2 linked regions of the Anolis sagrei genome follow. The protein of the gene in region 2 purifies or fractionates together with the protein of the main gene of each other region. This does not show direct contact. Links are inferred from orthologs where the notes say so. Each region holds a gene or a part of one and is shown on either strand. Other genes may lie near its edges.

What was found.
Region 1: the proteins of PYM1 (region 2) and RBM8A purify together in Homo sapiens (co-immunoprecipitation; 11 studies listed by BioGRID and IntAct, counting the BioPlex papers as one, with this or other methods). This does not show direct contact. The link is inferred for Anolis sagrei from reciprocal best matches to the Homo sapiens genes PYM1 and RBM8A.

What each region holds. Positions count from the first base shown.
Region 1 is NC_090032.1:21,384,521-21,392,054, reverse strand, and holds the start of RBM8A (RNA-binding protein 8A), read left to right. Parts: upstream 1-4,520; 5' UTR 4,521-4,612; coding exon 4,613-4,679; intron 4,680-6,067; coding exon 6,068-6,127; intron 6,128-7,534.
Region 2 is NC_090022.1:146,357,737-146,365,625, forward strand, and holds the start of PYM1 (partner of Y14 and mago), read right to left. Parts: upstream 3,002-7,889; coding exon 2,881-3,001; intron 1-2,880. UniProt on the Homo sapiens protein: Key regulator of the exon junction complex (EJC), a multiprotein complex that associates immediately upstream of the exon-exon junction on mRNAs and serves as a positional landmark for the intron exon structure of genes and directs post-transcriptional processes in the cytoplasm such as mRNA export, nonsense-mediated mRNA decay (NMD) or translation.

The DNA of each region.
Region 1 (7,534 bases), on a different chromosome or scaffold from region 2:
CCATCGTGGTCCCTGTGAATCGCACATATGGTATTGCCTGTGCAGACAGTTCGGAATCTTCTAGAAAACTTACTAGACACTTTTAGGCGGTAGCCCCGCCCATTCTCCCCTTGAGAGTATATATAGCCAGTAGGAGGGGCTATTACCTCGGATCCACTTCAGCCATTGTTGCAATGACTTTTCCCATTTGTTCAAATTTGGACTTGCAAAGATTTCAGTCGTTGTTGCAATACTTTCTTCCGTCAAAGCTGAATTTACAAAGTTGTTGTTGTAACGCCTTTCCCCATTATTCAAACCTGGACTTGCAAAGATTTTTGCAATACTTTCTTCCGTCAAATTTGGACTTGCAAAGATTTCAGTCGTTGTTGCAATGAGTTTTCCTCATCGTGGTCCCTGTGAATCGCACATATAGTATCGCCTGCGCAGACAGTTCGGAATCTTCTAGAAAACTTACTAGACACTTTTAGGTGGTAGCCCCGCCCACTCTCCCCTTGACGAGTATATATATCCAGTGGGAGGGGCTAGGTACAGTATTAAGTGGAAGTGTAGCATTGCCAGGAAAAAAACCTTGTTTTTGGTTTCTTGCTATGGATATAATGCCTAATTTTTAGGAATCTCGTGCATAAACCGTATGGAAGGGAAGTGTTATATTCTTCAATGGATAGGATCCATAATTGTAGGGAAAGTCACATAGTGAAGATAGGCTCTGCGTTACAACCCCAGAAGCACAAATTCGAATTCATTTGGTTGGAAATTTCCTAAAATTTCCGATTTGTTTACATTCAGAAAGGGATTTTCGTACGAAAAATTTCCGAGATCTAATGGAACGTAGTCTCTTCCCAAAATTGAGGGGCGAAAACACTTTTGGCCCCTGCGATTCGTGTCCCGGAAATAAGTCTTGTACCTTTTATATATATATATATATTAAAGTATATGTATCTATTTTTATATAGCACTTTGTTTACACTGCAGTATTGATGTTTATAAACGCATTTACTACAAAACGGCCCTCGAAGGGTTGCCTCCGGTTTTGTTCTCACGATGTTCTGTACTGGTTTTTGTAATTTTTTAAAAGTACAATAAAAGTAGCGTATCCTGCGTGGCTCGTTCTTTTCTTCATACGCTTTCCCCTTCGCTCTTTCCATCCTTTCTTTCCCTCTTCCGTTGCTTTGCTTCATATGCCGTTAGTCCTCTTCGTTTCTCGTTCTTCTCACTCCGTCCCTCTTTCCCTTCTTTTCCTTTCTTTCCTTCCCTCCTCTTGTGCCTTTCCGTCTTTCATTTCTCTTCCTTCCTTTTTCTTTCTTTCCTCAGTTATTTCCCTTTTCTTCTTCTCCTCCCCTCATATCTTTCCCTTCTTTTTCATCTTTTCCTCCTTTTTCTCTCCCTTCTTTTTCTTTCGTTCTGCCCTCCCCTTGTACCTTCCTCCTTTCCTTTCTCTTCATTCCCTCCTTTTTTCTCTCTCCCTTTCCTCCCTTTTTTCTCCCTTCCCTTCTTTTTCTTTCTTCCCTCCCCTTGTACCTTCTCCCTTTCCTTTCTCTTCATTCCCTCCTTTTTTCTCTCTCCCTTTCCTCCCTTCCCTTCTTTTTCTTTCTTCCCTCCCTTTGTACCTTCCCCCTTTCCTTTCTCATTCCCTCCTTTTTTCTTCCTCCCTCCCTTTCCTCCCCTTTTTCTTTCTTCCCTTCCTTTACTTCCCTTCTTTTTCTTTCTTTCTTTCCTCCCCTTCTACCTTCCCTCTTTCTTTTCTCTTCATTCCCTCCTTTTTTCTTTCTTCCCTTCCTTTACTTCCCTTTTTTTTCTTCCCTTCCCTTGTACCTCCCCCCTTCCCTTTCTCTTAATTCCCTCCTTTTTTCTTTCTTCCCTTCCTTTACTTCCCTTTTTTTTCTTTCTTTCTGTCTTCCCCTTGTACCTCTCCCTTTCCTTTCTCTTCATTCCCTTCTTTTTTCTTCCTCCCTCCCTTTCCTCCCTTTTTTCTTACATCCTTTCCTTTACTTCCCTTCTTTTTCTTTCTTCCCTTCCTCCCCTTCTACCTTCCCGCTTTCTTTTCTCTTCATTCCCTCCTTTTTTTCTTTCTTCCCTTCCTTTACTTCCCTTTTTTTTCTTTCTTTCTGTCTTCCCCTTGTACCTCTCCCTTTCCTTTCTCTTCATTCCCTTCTTTTTTCTTCCTCCCTCCCTTTCCTCCCTTTTTTCTTACGTCCTTTCCTTTACTTCCCTTCTTTTTCTTTCTTCCCTTCCTCCCCATCTACCTTCCCGCTTTCTTTTCTCTTCATTCCCTCCTTTTTTTCTTTCTTCCTTTCCTTTACTTCCCTTTTTCTTTCTTTCTTCCCTCCCCTTGTACCTCCCCCTTCCCTTTCTCTTCATTCCCTTTTTTCTCCCTCCCCTTTCTCTTCCTTCCCTTCCCTTCCTTTTTCTTCCTTCCTTCCCTTGTACCGTACCCTTTTCCTTTCTCTTAATTCCCTCCCTTTTTCCTTCCTTTCCTTCCCTTCTTTTCTTTCTTTCTTTCCACCCCTTATACCTTCCCCCTTTCCTTTCTCTTCGTTCCCTCTTTTTTTCTTTCTCCCTCCATTTTCTCCTTTTTTTCCCTTCTCTTCCTTTACTTTCCTTCTTTTTCTTTCTTTCTTCCCTCCCCTTATGGCAGAACCAATTAGGATCTACCATTTATTATGAAATTTTGAAACTTTTGTTAGAGTTCTGAAATTTTCACCACCACAACTTTACCAACACTGTAAAAGCAAAGCACCAGCGCCCCCTAGTTTTCACTACCAGAACTTTAGTTTTGTAAGTACTTTAGAACCATAGATTGCACATGCCTAGTGTGTATGTGTACACACACACACACTCCACTTGCTACCTCTATGCAAATACCCTTTCTGACTGACTTTGCAAATTTCACGGCTGCTCAAGGCTATTCAAGCTTTCTCATCCACACTTGCTTCACACAGACGAGGGTTCTTTCTCCCACCCTGGACTTCATTCCACGGGGATATATACACTCCACTTCCCTCACTACTTCTGTGCAGATACCCTCACTGATATCTATTCAGCACTACCCACACTTGCTTACTGCAACATCCACACTTGCTTTAAACAGACACGGGTTCTTTCTCCCACCCTGGGCATGATTAACAACACTACCCATTCAGTGCTAAGGCTCCACGCCAAAATGGAACTGTAGAGGAGAGTCTACTGAACGAGCCAGTACCTGCCACATACATTGCTTAAGTCGCATTGACCGACCGTCTGTGCAGGGTTCCATACTTTGCACTTTAACAACACAACCGTTCAATGCTAAGGCTTCCCACCAAAATGGAACTGTAGAGGAGAGTCTACCGAACAAGCCAGTACCTGCAGCATACATTGCTTAAGTCGTATTGACCGACTGTCTGCGCAGGGCTCCATACTTCACGCTTTAACAACACAACCGTCCAATGCTAAGGTTTCCTGCTAAAATGGAACTGTAGAGGAGAGTCTACTGAACAAGCCAGTACCTGCCACATACGTTGCTTAAGTCACATTGATCGACCGTCTGTGCAGGGTTCCATACTTTGCACTTTAACAACACAACCGTTCAATGCTAAGCCTTCCCGCCAAAATGGAACTAGAGAGGAGAGTCTACCGAACAAGCCAGTACCTGCAGCATACATTGCTTAAGTCGTATTGACCGACTGTCTGCGCAGGGCTCCATACTTCACGCTTTAACAACACAACCGTCCAATGCTAAGGTTTCCTGCTAAAATGGAACTGTAGAGGAGAGTCTACTGAACAAGCCAGTACCTGCCACATACGTTGCTTAAGTCACATTGATCGACCGTCTGTGCAGGGTTCCATACTTTGCACTTTAACAACACAACCGTTCAATGCTAAGCCTTCCCGCCAAAATGGAACTGTAAAGGAGAGTCTACTGAATGAGCCAGTACTTGTCGCATACATTGCTTAAGTCGCATTGACCGACTGTCTGCGCAGGGCTCCATACTTCACACTTTAACAACACAACTGTTCAATGTTAGGGCTTCCTGCCAAAATGGAACTGTAGCGGAGAGTCTACTGAATAAGCCAGTACCTGCCGCATACGTTGCTTACATCGCATTGACCAACTGTTTGCGCAGGGTTCCATACTTTGCACTTTAACAACACAACCGTTCAATGCTAAGGCTTCCTGCCCAAATGAAACTGTAGAGGAGAGTCTACTGAACGAGCCAGTACCTGCCGCATACATTGCTGTCCAGGGGGAGGTGGCCTACAGAAGGCTCAACGTTAAGAACGGAAACTACCAAGAGAGCGTTTCTCTTTCCACCTCCAGACCCTTCCCTTCTTTTAAGTCCAACCACGAAGGCTTTGCCTGCCAGGTGGGGTCCGGATCCACCCAGCCGTTTTTGAACCTTGTTGGGACAAACCAACAAATCCACGTCGACGACCTTCTCAAGATGGCGCCTGCGCGGGGGACGCCGCGTTTCTGCGCAGGCGCGACTGGGCGACCTCCTCTGGACGTCTCCGCCCCCTTCCTTTGGCGCTGAAGGGAGTGCGCATGCGCAGAGACGCTCCTTCTCTTGCTGTGTGGGAGTAGGCCGCGGAGCCTGTCGTGTCGTACTCTTCGGTGTTTCGGGCTCTCCTCGCGATGGCGGACGTCTTGGACCTCCACGAGGCCGGCGGAGAGGACTTCGCCATGGACGAGGACGGCGACGGTGAGTGAGCAGCCCAAGCCAGGCCCTGGCCTCACTAATTTAGGGCCCGCCTGAGGCCTAGTCGCCTCCGGTTGAGCGGAAGTGACGTCGAACTACATCCCCCAGAAGCTCTTGCCGGCCACGGCAACGGTGGAGCATTCTGGGAAATGGAGTCCAGTACTACTTTAGCGCCTATTGCGGCCTGTAGCGTGTAGATGGATGGACAAATAGATAAATAAATAGATATACACAATGCTCTCTTGCGTGTAGATCTCTTATCTGTATTTTATTATTAATTAAATTTAATAATATGTAATTTTATGTGTATCTATCTATTATTTATTATGTGTATTATTTATTATGTGTATCTGTATATATATATATATAATTTGGATCTTACATTTGGGTCTATATATTTTTATTATTTAATAATATCAATAATATAATAAATAAATATATTATTTGTATTTTATTATTAATTAAATTTAATATATAATTTTATGTGTGTCTATTTATATTATTATTATTTGATGCAATACATTATATAATATATTATAGTGTGTGTATATAATTTTGTGTCTATATCATTTAATATAATTTAATAATAATATTTAATAGTAATTCAATAAGTTTTATATGTGATATAATATATTATTTTGTCTGTGTATATATATATAATTTGGATTTTAAATGTGTGTCTATATAATTTATTATTATTATTTAATAATATAATAAATAAATAAGATTATTATATGCAATATATTATATTATTTTATGTGTGTTTGTGTGTGTGAATAATAAAATATTATTTCTATTTTATTAATTAAGTTTAATATATAATTTTATGTGTGTCTATCTATATTATTTATTATGTGTATCTATATTATTTTTATATGAAATATAATATATTATTTTGTGTGTGTATGTATATATATATGTATAATTTGGATCTTAAATTTGTGTCTATATAATTTTTTATTTAATAATAATATTAATAATATAATATTAAAATAAGATGATTATATGCAATATAATATATTATTTTGTGTGTGTATATATATATAATTTGGATCTTAAATTTACATCTATATAATTTATTAAGTTGTAATGTTTTGGATTGTGAACCGCTTTGATTCTTCGTATGGAGAGATCAAGCAGGATACAATAATAATAATAATAATAATAATAATAATAATAATGTGTATCCTAAATTGTAGAAGTGATCAGCCTTCATTGTATGTTTTTTCCCTCTCTCTCACACACACACACACACACATATATATATATCTTTGCGCTCCTCTGTCTTATCTATGTATATAAACTATGTTAACATACACCTACTGTGGTTGTTGTTGTTGTTTTGTGAATTTGACCGTTGTTTAATCAAACTCTATGTGGTCTCTCTGCAGAAAGCATCCACAAACTGAAGGAAAAAGCAAAGAAAAGGAAAGGCCGAGGCTTCGGATCAGGTAAGGCGACTCAACCTTATGATGATGGTGATGATGATGAAGATAATAATAATTCACCTTAATAGCAATCCTACAAAACTCATCCTGTTCGTACCTTGCCTATATTAAATAGTGTTGAGTTTGATCCATGCTGTGCCTTACTTTGGGGTGGGAAATATATACATCTATTATTATTATTATTATTTTCATATTAATATTAATATTATATTATTATTATTAAATTACATATTAAATTTAATTAATAATAAAATACAAATAATAATATTATATATATATATATATACACACACACACACAAACACACACAAAATAATATATTATATTGCATATAATATTTATTATATATTATTAACATTATTATTAAATAATAATAAATTAGACAGATTTAAGATCCAAATTATATATACACACACACAAAATAATATATATTGCATATAATAATCTTATTTTATTATTATATAATAATATATTGCATTAAATAATAATAAATAATATAGATACACATAAATAATATAGATAGACATGCATAAAATTACATATTAAATTTAATTAATAATAAAATACAAATTTTATATATATATATATATATACACACACACAAACACACATAAAATAATATATTGCATATAATAATCTTATTTATTTATTATATTATTAATAATATTATATTATTATTGTGGGAGAGAAGCCTCCCACAAGGATGATAAAAACATCCAATCATCTAGGTGGCGTCCCCTGGGCAATGTCCTTGCAGACGGCCAATTCTCTCACACCAGAAGCAACTTGCAGTTTCTCAAGTCGCTCCTGACATGACAAAAAATAATAATAATTACTATTATTATCATATTAGTTTATTATGTAACCTTAGCGGTTGTACGTTTTCGGTAGTGTGTTTTTGGCTGCTTTGGGTCTGTTTTTAAGAGAGAGCTTTAAAGTACATTCTAAAGTACGAAAACACTAGATGTTACGAAGAAGAAGCAAGTTTAAAATAATATAATAATAGTTTTGAAGCTGTATGTTTTATTTTTCACCAATGTAAGTCTCTAAGAGAAAAAGAGAGATATTATTCATAACTAGCCGTCCCCTGCCATGCGTTGCTGTGGCTCAGTCTGTGTATAAGTGTTTTGTGTGTGTATATATGTGTACATGTGTATATATGTGGTTTTGCGCACGCGTTGTAATGTATTTTTTAAGTCCCTTCCGCTGTGTTTTCCAGTGTTTTTGTGAGTGATAGTCACTCGTTGGCCTGATAAGTGGATTGTGACCAAATTTGGTGTCCATTCGTCCAGTGGTTTTTGAGTTATGCTAATCCCACAAACGAACATTACATTTTGATTTATACAGATAAGTAAAAAGCACCTAAGTAAAAAGCACTTTAAAGGAATAGGTAAATCCAATTAGGTAAGA
Region 2 (7,889 bases):
CATATAATCCAGTTCAAAGTAGATTATGTAGATTATATGGCAGTGTAGAAGGGGCAATAGTTTCATGTGTAAGTTGCAGACAACTAATTCCCTAAAAAGTATTGTGAGGATAAATTAAAAAGAAGTGTGATCCCCATGAAGGAACTGAAAAACATAAATGTAGTTAATACATTTAAATAGAATCTCCCAAAATGAATATACTCATTAACAGCTAATAGTAACTCTGGCAATTACTGGAAGGTTAAGTACATACATTCATATTGAAAACCTTCATTAAAGGAAGCAATATTTGCAGGTCCCAGAAAAAAAATCCATCTGCTCACAAATAATATAATTTGCATCTGATTATTTTCTTATTGGGTGGAATAGAAAAAAGGCTATTAGATACCTGCAGTCTAAAGCCTTCATTTTTATATTTAAGTGCTATGCAATGATAAACAGCATGTGTGTGTGTGTGTGTGTTTATACACACCCACCCCGCAGGTTGTGTATCCCTTATCCAGTGTTGCCTCTACACTGTAGATTTAATGCAGTTTGACCCCACTTTAACTGCCATGGCTCAGGCTGTTGAATACTGGGAGTTGCAGTTTGGTGAGAACCCAGCACTTTCTGGCAGAGAAGGCTAAAGACATTGGATAACTACAACTCTCATGGTTTGAGAGCATTGACGCTCCTTCCACACAGCTGCATAAAATCCACTTTGAACTGGATTATATGGCAGTGTGGACTCAGCTAAGCCTGTTCAAAGCAGATATTGTGAATTATCTGCCTTAGTATTCTGGGCAATAGGGCTGTGTGGAAGGGCCCTGAACCTTGGTAGGTAAAGTGCGTTAAACCTGCATTAATCCTGCAGTGTAGGTACATCCCAAAGATGTTAGAAACCAGAGATATTATTTTTGGGTTTCTTTTCTTTCAGATTCTGGGAATATTTCTCTATACATAATAAAATACCTCAGAGAGGGGACCCAAGGCTCAAACAACAAATTTATTTATGTTTCATATAAACTGCACAGAAATAATGTAATACGCATGTTAATTAATTTGGGGTGCAACAAAACACCAGAAGGCAAAGGTGTCAAAGGGCCCTTCCACACAACCCTATATCCCAGAATATCAAGGTGGAAAATCTCACAGTATATGCTTTGAACTAGGCCCCCTTCAAAACAGCTGAATAAAATCCCACATTTTCTGCTTTGAACTGGGGTATATGGCAGTGTGGACTCAGATAACCCAGTTCAAGGCAGGTAGGGCCCTTCCACACAGTCCTATCCCACAACACAGCCCTATATCCCAGAATCTCAAGGCAGGAAATCCCACATGATCTGAGTGTGGACTCAGATAACCCAGATATTGTGGGATCTTCAAAGTGCTGAATTCAAAGTGCTGGCGTTGGCCTTTAAAGCCCTAAACGGTTCCGGCCCAAGCTACCTATCTGACCGCATCTCTGCCTATGAACCCACCAAGACTTTGAGATCTTCCGGGGAGACCCTGCTCTCGATCACGCCTGCTTCTCAAGTCGGCTGGCAGGGACGAGAGATAGGGCCTTCTCGGTGGTGGCTCCTCGGCTGTGGAACGCCCTTCCTACGGACATTAGACTAGCACCATCTCTAATGGTATTCCACAAAAAGGTGAAGACCTGGATGTTTGTGCAGGCGTTTGAGTAATTTAGTGCAATCTGGTAATGGAACATAGGAATGGAACAATGGACGACGAACCTGGACTACGCTTGGATGATGAGAAGATTGGGTACGGTTGTTTTTTGTAATAATTGTGCATTGTAATTGCTTATTGGTAATTTATGGATAATGTGTTAAGTCAATTGTTATATGTTGTATGGAACCACTGCTGTTTCTACCGTTTTTACTGTTTGTGAACCGCTGTGAGTTGCCTTCGGGCTTGAGATACAGCGGTATATAAGCAAAGTAAATAAATAAATAAATAAATAATCTTCTGCCTTGATATTCCGGGTTAGAGGGCTGTCTGGAAGGGCCTACCTACACTGCTCTAAGTGTGGACTCAGATAACCCAGTTCCAAGCAGATATTGTGGGATTTCCTGCCTTGATATTCTGAGATATAGGGCTGCGTGGAAGGGCCTACACTGCCATATATTCCAACTCAAAGCAGATAATGTGGGATTTTATTCAGCTGTGTGGAAGGGGCCTACAGATATGCTTATCCGAGAGCCCTTCCACACAGCCATACAATCCAGAATATCAAAGCAGAAAATCCCACAATATCGGCTTTGAACTGGGTCTGCCATATATTCCAATTCAAAGCAAGCATATCTGAATTGACATTCTGGCTGTGTGGAAGGGCCCTGAGGCACTTCCATTTAAATCCAGGCATTTTTTATCCATTTAGTGAATGGGCAAGTGGGAGAGATTCACCCACCATAGACAAAAATCGCCCATAGAAGAATATGGGGAAAGCGTCCCACAAGTTGTGCTATTTAGACTATTATTTATTGTTATTATTATTTATTGTTATTATTATTATTATTATTATTATATTTAGATAGGAATAAACAAGCCCAAGGGTGAACCATGGCTCATCCTTTCAACCGGAGGCTCTTGGAAGCGGGAAAAGGGAGAAGGGTGAGCTTCCAATGAGTAGGAGCGGAGGGAGGGGGTCCACAGGGGGAGAAGAGCCCGGCGGGGGATAATCCTGTCCGGGAAGAGCCTCTCGCGCAGTGGGCGTGGCCCCGCGGCGGATGAAAGCGAAAGGTGGAGCCTGGGCGCGCGAGGACGGAGGATGGGAGGGGCGTCGTCGTCGTCGGAAGGCGGCAAGGCCCCATTGCGAGGTAGAAGGACAGGAGCTCAGAGTCGCTCCCGGGCCCCCCCCTCGCCTCCTCCCAGCCCAACCGCCGCTTTCCCACTCACCGGTTTCATCAGTCACATAGGGAGTCGCCATCTTGGAAGCGCGACCCACTTCCGGTCCCTGTACCTCCCCCTCCGGATGTGTCGTGAGTGAGAGGAGGAGAAACATCCGCGCGGCCGCCATTTTGTTTCTGGGTGGAGCCCTCCCTCCGTCTCTCCCCCCCCCCCCCCGCCTCAGTCCTCCCCATGCTCTTCTTCCCCTTCAAGCCCAGGGCCCTGCCACACAGCCCTATAGCCCAGAATATCAAGGCAGAAAACCCCACAATATCTGTTTTGAACCGGGTTATCTGAGTCCACACTGCCATATATTCCAGTTCAAAGCAGATAATGTGGACTTTTATTCAGCTGTGTGGAAGAGGCCCCAGCCTTAGTTGGGCCTTTGCATGTCCCTTCCCGGCTCAGCAGGGTTTGAGGGCATAGTAGGCAGCTTAGTCATCGAGGCAAGCACGATTTTGTATTTTTAGAACAGGGGTCCCTTCCACACAGCCCTATATCCCAGTATATCAAGACAGAAAATCCCACATGATCTAAGTCAGGGGTCCTCAAACTAAGGCCTGGGGGCCGGATGCGGCCCTCCAAGGTCATTTACCCGGCCCTCGCTCAAGGTCAACCTAAGTCTGAAACGACTTGAAAGCACACAACAACAACAACAATCCTATCTCATCAGCCAAAAGCAGGCCCACATTTCCCATTGAAATACTCATAAGTTTATATTTGTTAACATTGTTCCTCATTTTAATTATTTATTGTTTTTAAGTGTTTATTACACTACAAATAAGGTATGTGAAGCATGCACAGGAATTCATGCTTTATTTTTCAAATTATAATCCGGCCCTCCAACAGTTTGAGGGACTGTGACCTGGCCCTCTTGTTTAAAAAGGACCCCTGATCTAAGTGGACTGGGATTCACAGTTTTATCATGGAGAAAAGGTGTCTCCAATGAAGCTTTATCACCAATCCTTGTTTCCACATCAAGCCAATTTTTTCAAAATCCCAATTGTCACAGGGATGGAAATGAGATGAAACCCACTGTGGACTCAAACAATTATGGATCTGGACCAAACTTGGCACAAGCACTCAATATGCCCAAATATGATGGAGTTTGGGGGGGAAAGACCTTGATATTTGGGAGTTGTAGTCACTGGGATTCACAGTTCACCTACAATCAAAGAGCATTCTGAACCCCATGAACAACAGAATCGGGGCAAACTTCCCACACAGAACCCCCATGGCCAACAGAAAATACTTAAGGCCATCCAATCCAACTCCCTTCACCAGGGCAAGAAAACATAACCAAAGTCCTCCTGACGAGCCATCCAGCCATAGATATAGATAGATAGATAGATAGATAGATAGATAGATAGATAGGGAGTTGTAGTTGCTGGGATTTATAGTTCACCTACAATCAAATAGCATGATAGAATTGAACCAACCGGGGCATACAGGACTCTCATGACCAACAGAAAACACTAGAAGGGTTTGGTGAGCATTGACCTTGAGATTGGGAATTGTAGTTCATCCACATCCAGATACTACCATGGACTCAGTGATGGATCTGGACCAAACTTGGCACAAATATTCCATATGCCCAAATATGAACACAGATGGAGTTTGGGGGAAATAGACCTTGACATTTGGGAGTTGTAGTTACTGGGATATATAGTTCACCTACAATCAAAGAGTGTTCTGAACCCCACCAACGACAGAATTGGGCCACACTTCCCACACAGAACCTCCATGACCAACAGAAAATACTCAAGGCCATCCAGTCCAAGTCCCTTCACCAGGGCAAGAAAACATAATCAAAGCCCTTCTAACATAGAGCCATCCAGCCATAAATATAGATACATATGATCCACACACACACAAATAAAGTATCATAGATCTGAAAGGGACCCCTGAAGAAGGACAATTTTATGTTGCATGTTCCAGAGTAGGCAAACCAGACAATCTCCATATCAACATTGACAAAGAAACAGCAAGAAATACTGTTTACCCACAAGCATCAACACATTACATATATTAGAAACCAACTCTTTCTCATTATTTTATTTTCCATATCAACAGACTAGGCCACAGCAACGCGTGGCGAAATTACACTTCATAAATGTACCTGTTCTGGCGTACATACAAATTCAACAAGGACAAACTTACAGAACCTATCTTGTCTGTAACTTGGGGACTGCCTGTATTGCCTGTTTGCACATAAGATGGAGATGTTGAGAACCTACTCTGACACAAAAAGGAATTATGAAAGAGGAGTAAAATCTCTTATAGCTTTCTACCATCCTCTGTTATCAGGAACTGCTTAACGTGATGGAATGAGGTGAGGTAGATCAGTGGCATAGTTTCCAGATCTTTTACCATTTCAGTTCCCCACCTCTGGATACTTAGTTTCTTGAATTGCAGTCCCAAGAACTGGACATAGTGGTCCACATGAGTGATTGTGTCTAATGATCAGGATACTCTCGATGTTGAGAATGACAATGATGTTTCTAATTATGAGGTTGCTTTAGATGCAGAGAATGACAATGGAATTCCCGTTCAAAGTGTCTTTCCTGATGAGAATGTTCCTGAAGGGTTTGAGGATGATGGTATGGTCCCAGGAAGAGGACCTGAATTGCTACCAGAGAATTCCCAGGACTTTGAGCTTGAGAAAAGCTCGAAACCTGAGCCAACTACAGAAATTAATGAGCCAGTATAGAGAAGGATATTTTCAGTCAGCACAGGCAAACAAACCAATATCTCTGGCGTTCTGCCAGACGGAGAGAGAAATTGATAACAGAGTCAAAGGTGAAAGGAAATCTGTTCCTGGCCGCTTGGGACATAGGGTAAATTAGGGGATAAAAGTGCCAAGTACAGAATCTATAGTCAGATGAAGCAACATTGGAATTGAGTCAAGACATTTTTCCTGGTCCTTGGAAGCCTTGCCTTGGATAGATTCATGTGTTAAGTGCCTTGTTTGATTTCATGGTTCAAGTTTTGGAGTTTTACCTTGGAAGTTTCTGTATTTGTTTTTCATGAACTTTGATGGACTAATTTCCTGGACTATTTGTTTCTGCTTATCTTTCTACCTATTTGGATTTACCTATTTTTATGGAGTTTTTTTTACTGCTACTGCTTTTTAATTATCTTCAATAAACTACTTGCATTTTTACTCAGCTGTGTGATGTTTAAAGTCAGAGGGCTATCCTGGCTGGAGTGCAACACAGCCTAGAATTTCATTGGCTTTTTAGCTGTCACATCACTGTTACAGCCAAGCCACCTACTTGATCCCAAACACCACACAGATGAACAGGAATAGTAAGTTAATTAAGAAAAGAATATTGAATATAAAAATCCATTTGAAAATACATCTGTGAGCTAGAGTTCCAGAAGCTTAACAAAAAGCAATGACCAACTCTGAACACGAATTCCAAAAATCATTTAAGGCAAAAGCAAGAAACTGTAATACAATGTTTGTTGCACTTAAACTAGAATTCTATCCAAAAGGTTGGAAATATGAACATGACCATAATCCAAAGGCTTGATACTTGAACTTCACCATAATCCCAAAGGCTTGAATCCCAAAACAAGATTTGTAATCCAAACTGGGAGCATGGAACTTAAACAGGAAAACAAGATACAGACCCAAGAAGAGAACCCCTAACTCGGAGCTCCCAAGACAGGCAACGACATATGAAAATCCAATGTTGATCTCCCCAGCGAACATTGACTCCAATTCCTTAAGAATACTCGTGTCCATGACATCACTCTCACGTCATCTGTAGAGACTTAGGGCATTTAACTTGAACTAGATCTTCAGGCCTATGCCACCATTTAAAGCACTATGCTGAGGTGATTCTTATAGAGAATCTTTTAAGTCTTCGCTGCCACCAAATGTATAGAATGTTTCTCTAACTTGTTTAGAAATTCTTCTCTTTAGAGGCACGCTGAGGCAATTGTTTGAACAAAGAACAAAGTTGTTTATTTGTGTGAACTTTGGCAATACAGGCACTTAAGCTTAACGGTTGCAGTAATGAATAAACGTGTGTGGTTACTTCAAAGAACAGTTCAATTCTTAAACACTTCTTGGTTGCACTTAAACTCTTAACTCCCTCACAAAAATCTAGCAGTCTTCCCTCTGACTAGACTTCTTTGACTTCAAACAGTCCTTTCTCTTCAGTATTTCAGCTATTCTTTCTCTAATAGCTCTCTGAATACTACTGTAATCTACCTTCTTTAAAACCCAGAGTCTGTCTGACTCACACAAACACCAGAACCTATCTCTTCAACACCCAGGGTTTTAAAACGCCCCCTTAAAGTCATTTTTTCCCTTTTCTAAGTTAAGCTCCGCCCACTTTCTCCCAGCCAATCACTAACTCCTCTCCTTTCCCTCCAAGCTCCTAAGCATGCCCCCTTCAGGAAATGAGATTTAAAATGGACCCCCCCCCCCCCAGCATCCTTTCCAAAATGGCTGACAAACTTCCTGGGCTTACTTTTCTAGGCTTTTCCTAGCCTAACAGGTAGGGAATTCACTACATCATCGCACACCTGGGTTCCCTTTGTTTATCTTTCAGTCTCCGAGAACATTACATTTCTCTCTGTTTCACACTATCCCTTTGGAGCTCTAAACGCTGGGTAATCTGTAACCCACCTGTTGTCTCCACATTAATTTCAGAGTCAATTCCTGGCTGATTCTCATGAGAATCACTGTTTCTCCAACAACAGATCTACCCAAAACATATCTATCGTATAAAAAAAAACACTTTCACTTCCCCCCACAGAAACACTGGGCTCAACCAGAAAATCCTCATTCTCAGAGGCTTCACAGGCCTTAACAGTCACATTGTGCTTTTTTAAGCATTCTCTCCACTTCGATCTTATTAAAGAAGTCATCACTGCTAATTAGGAACAGATCTAAAATACCCAATCTCTTTGTTGCCTCTTCTACCTTCTGATCAATGAAGTTTGAAAGGCAAGTGAGGAATTTGCTGAACTTTATATTCTTGGCAGAACATCTTATCCAACAA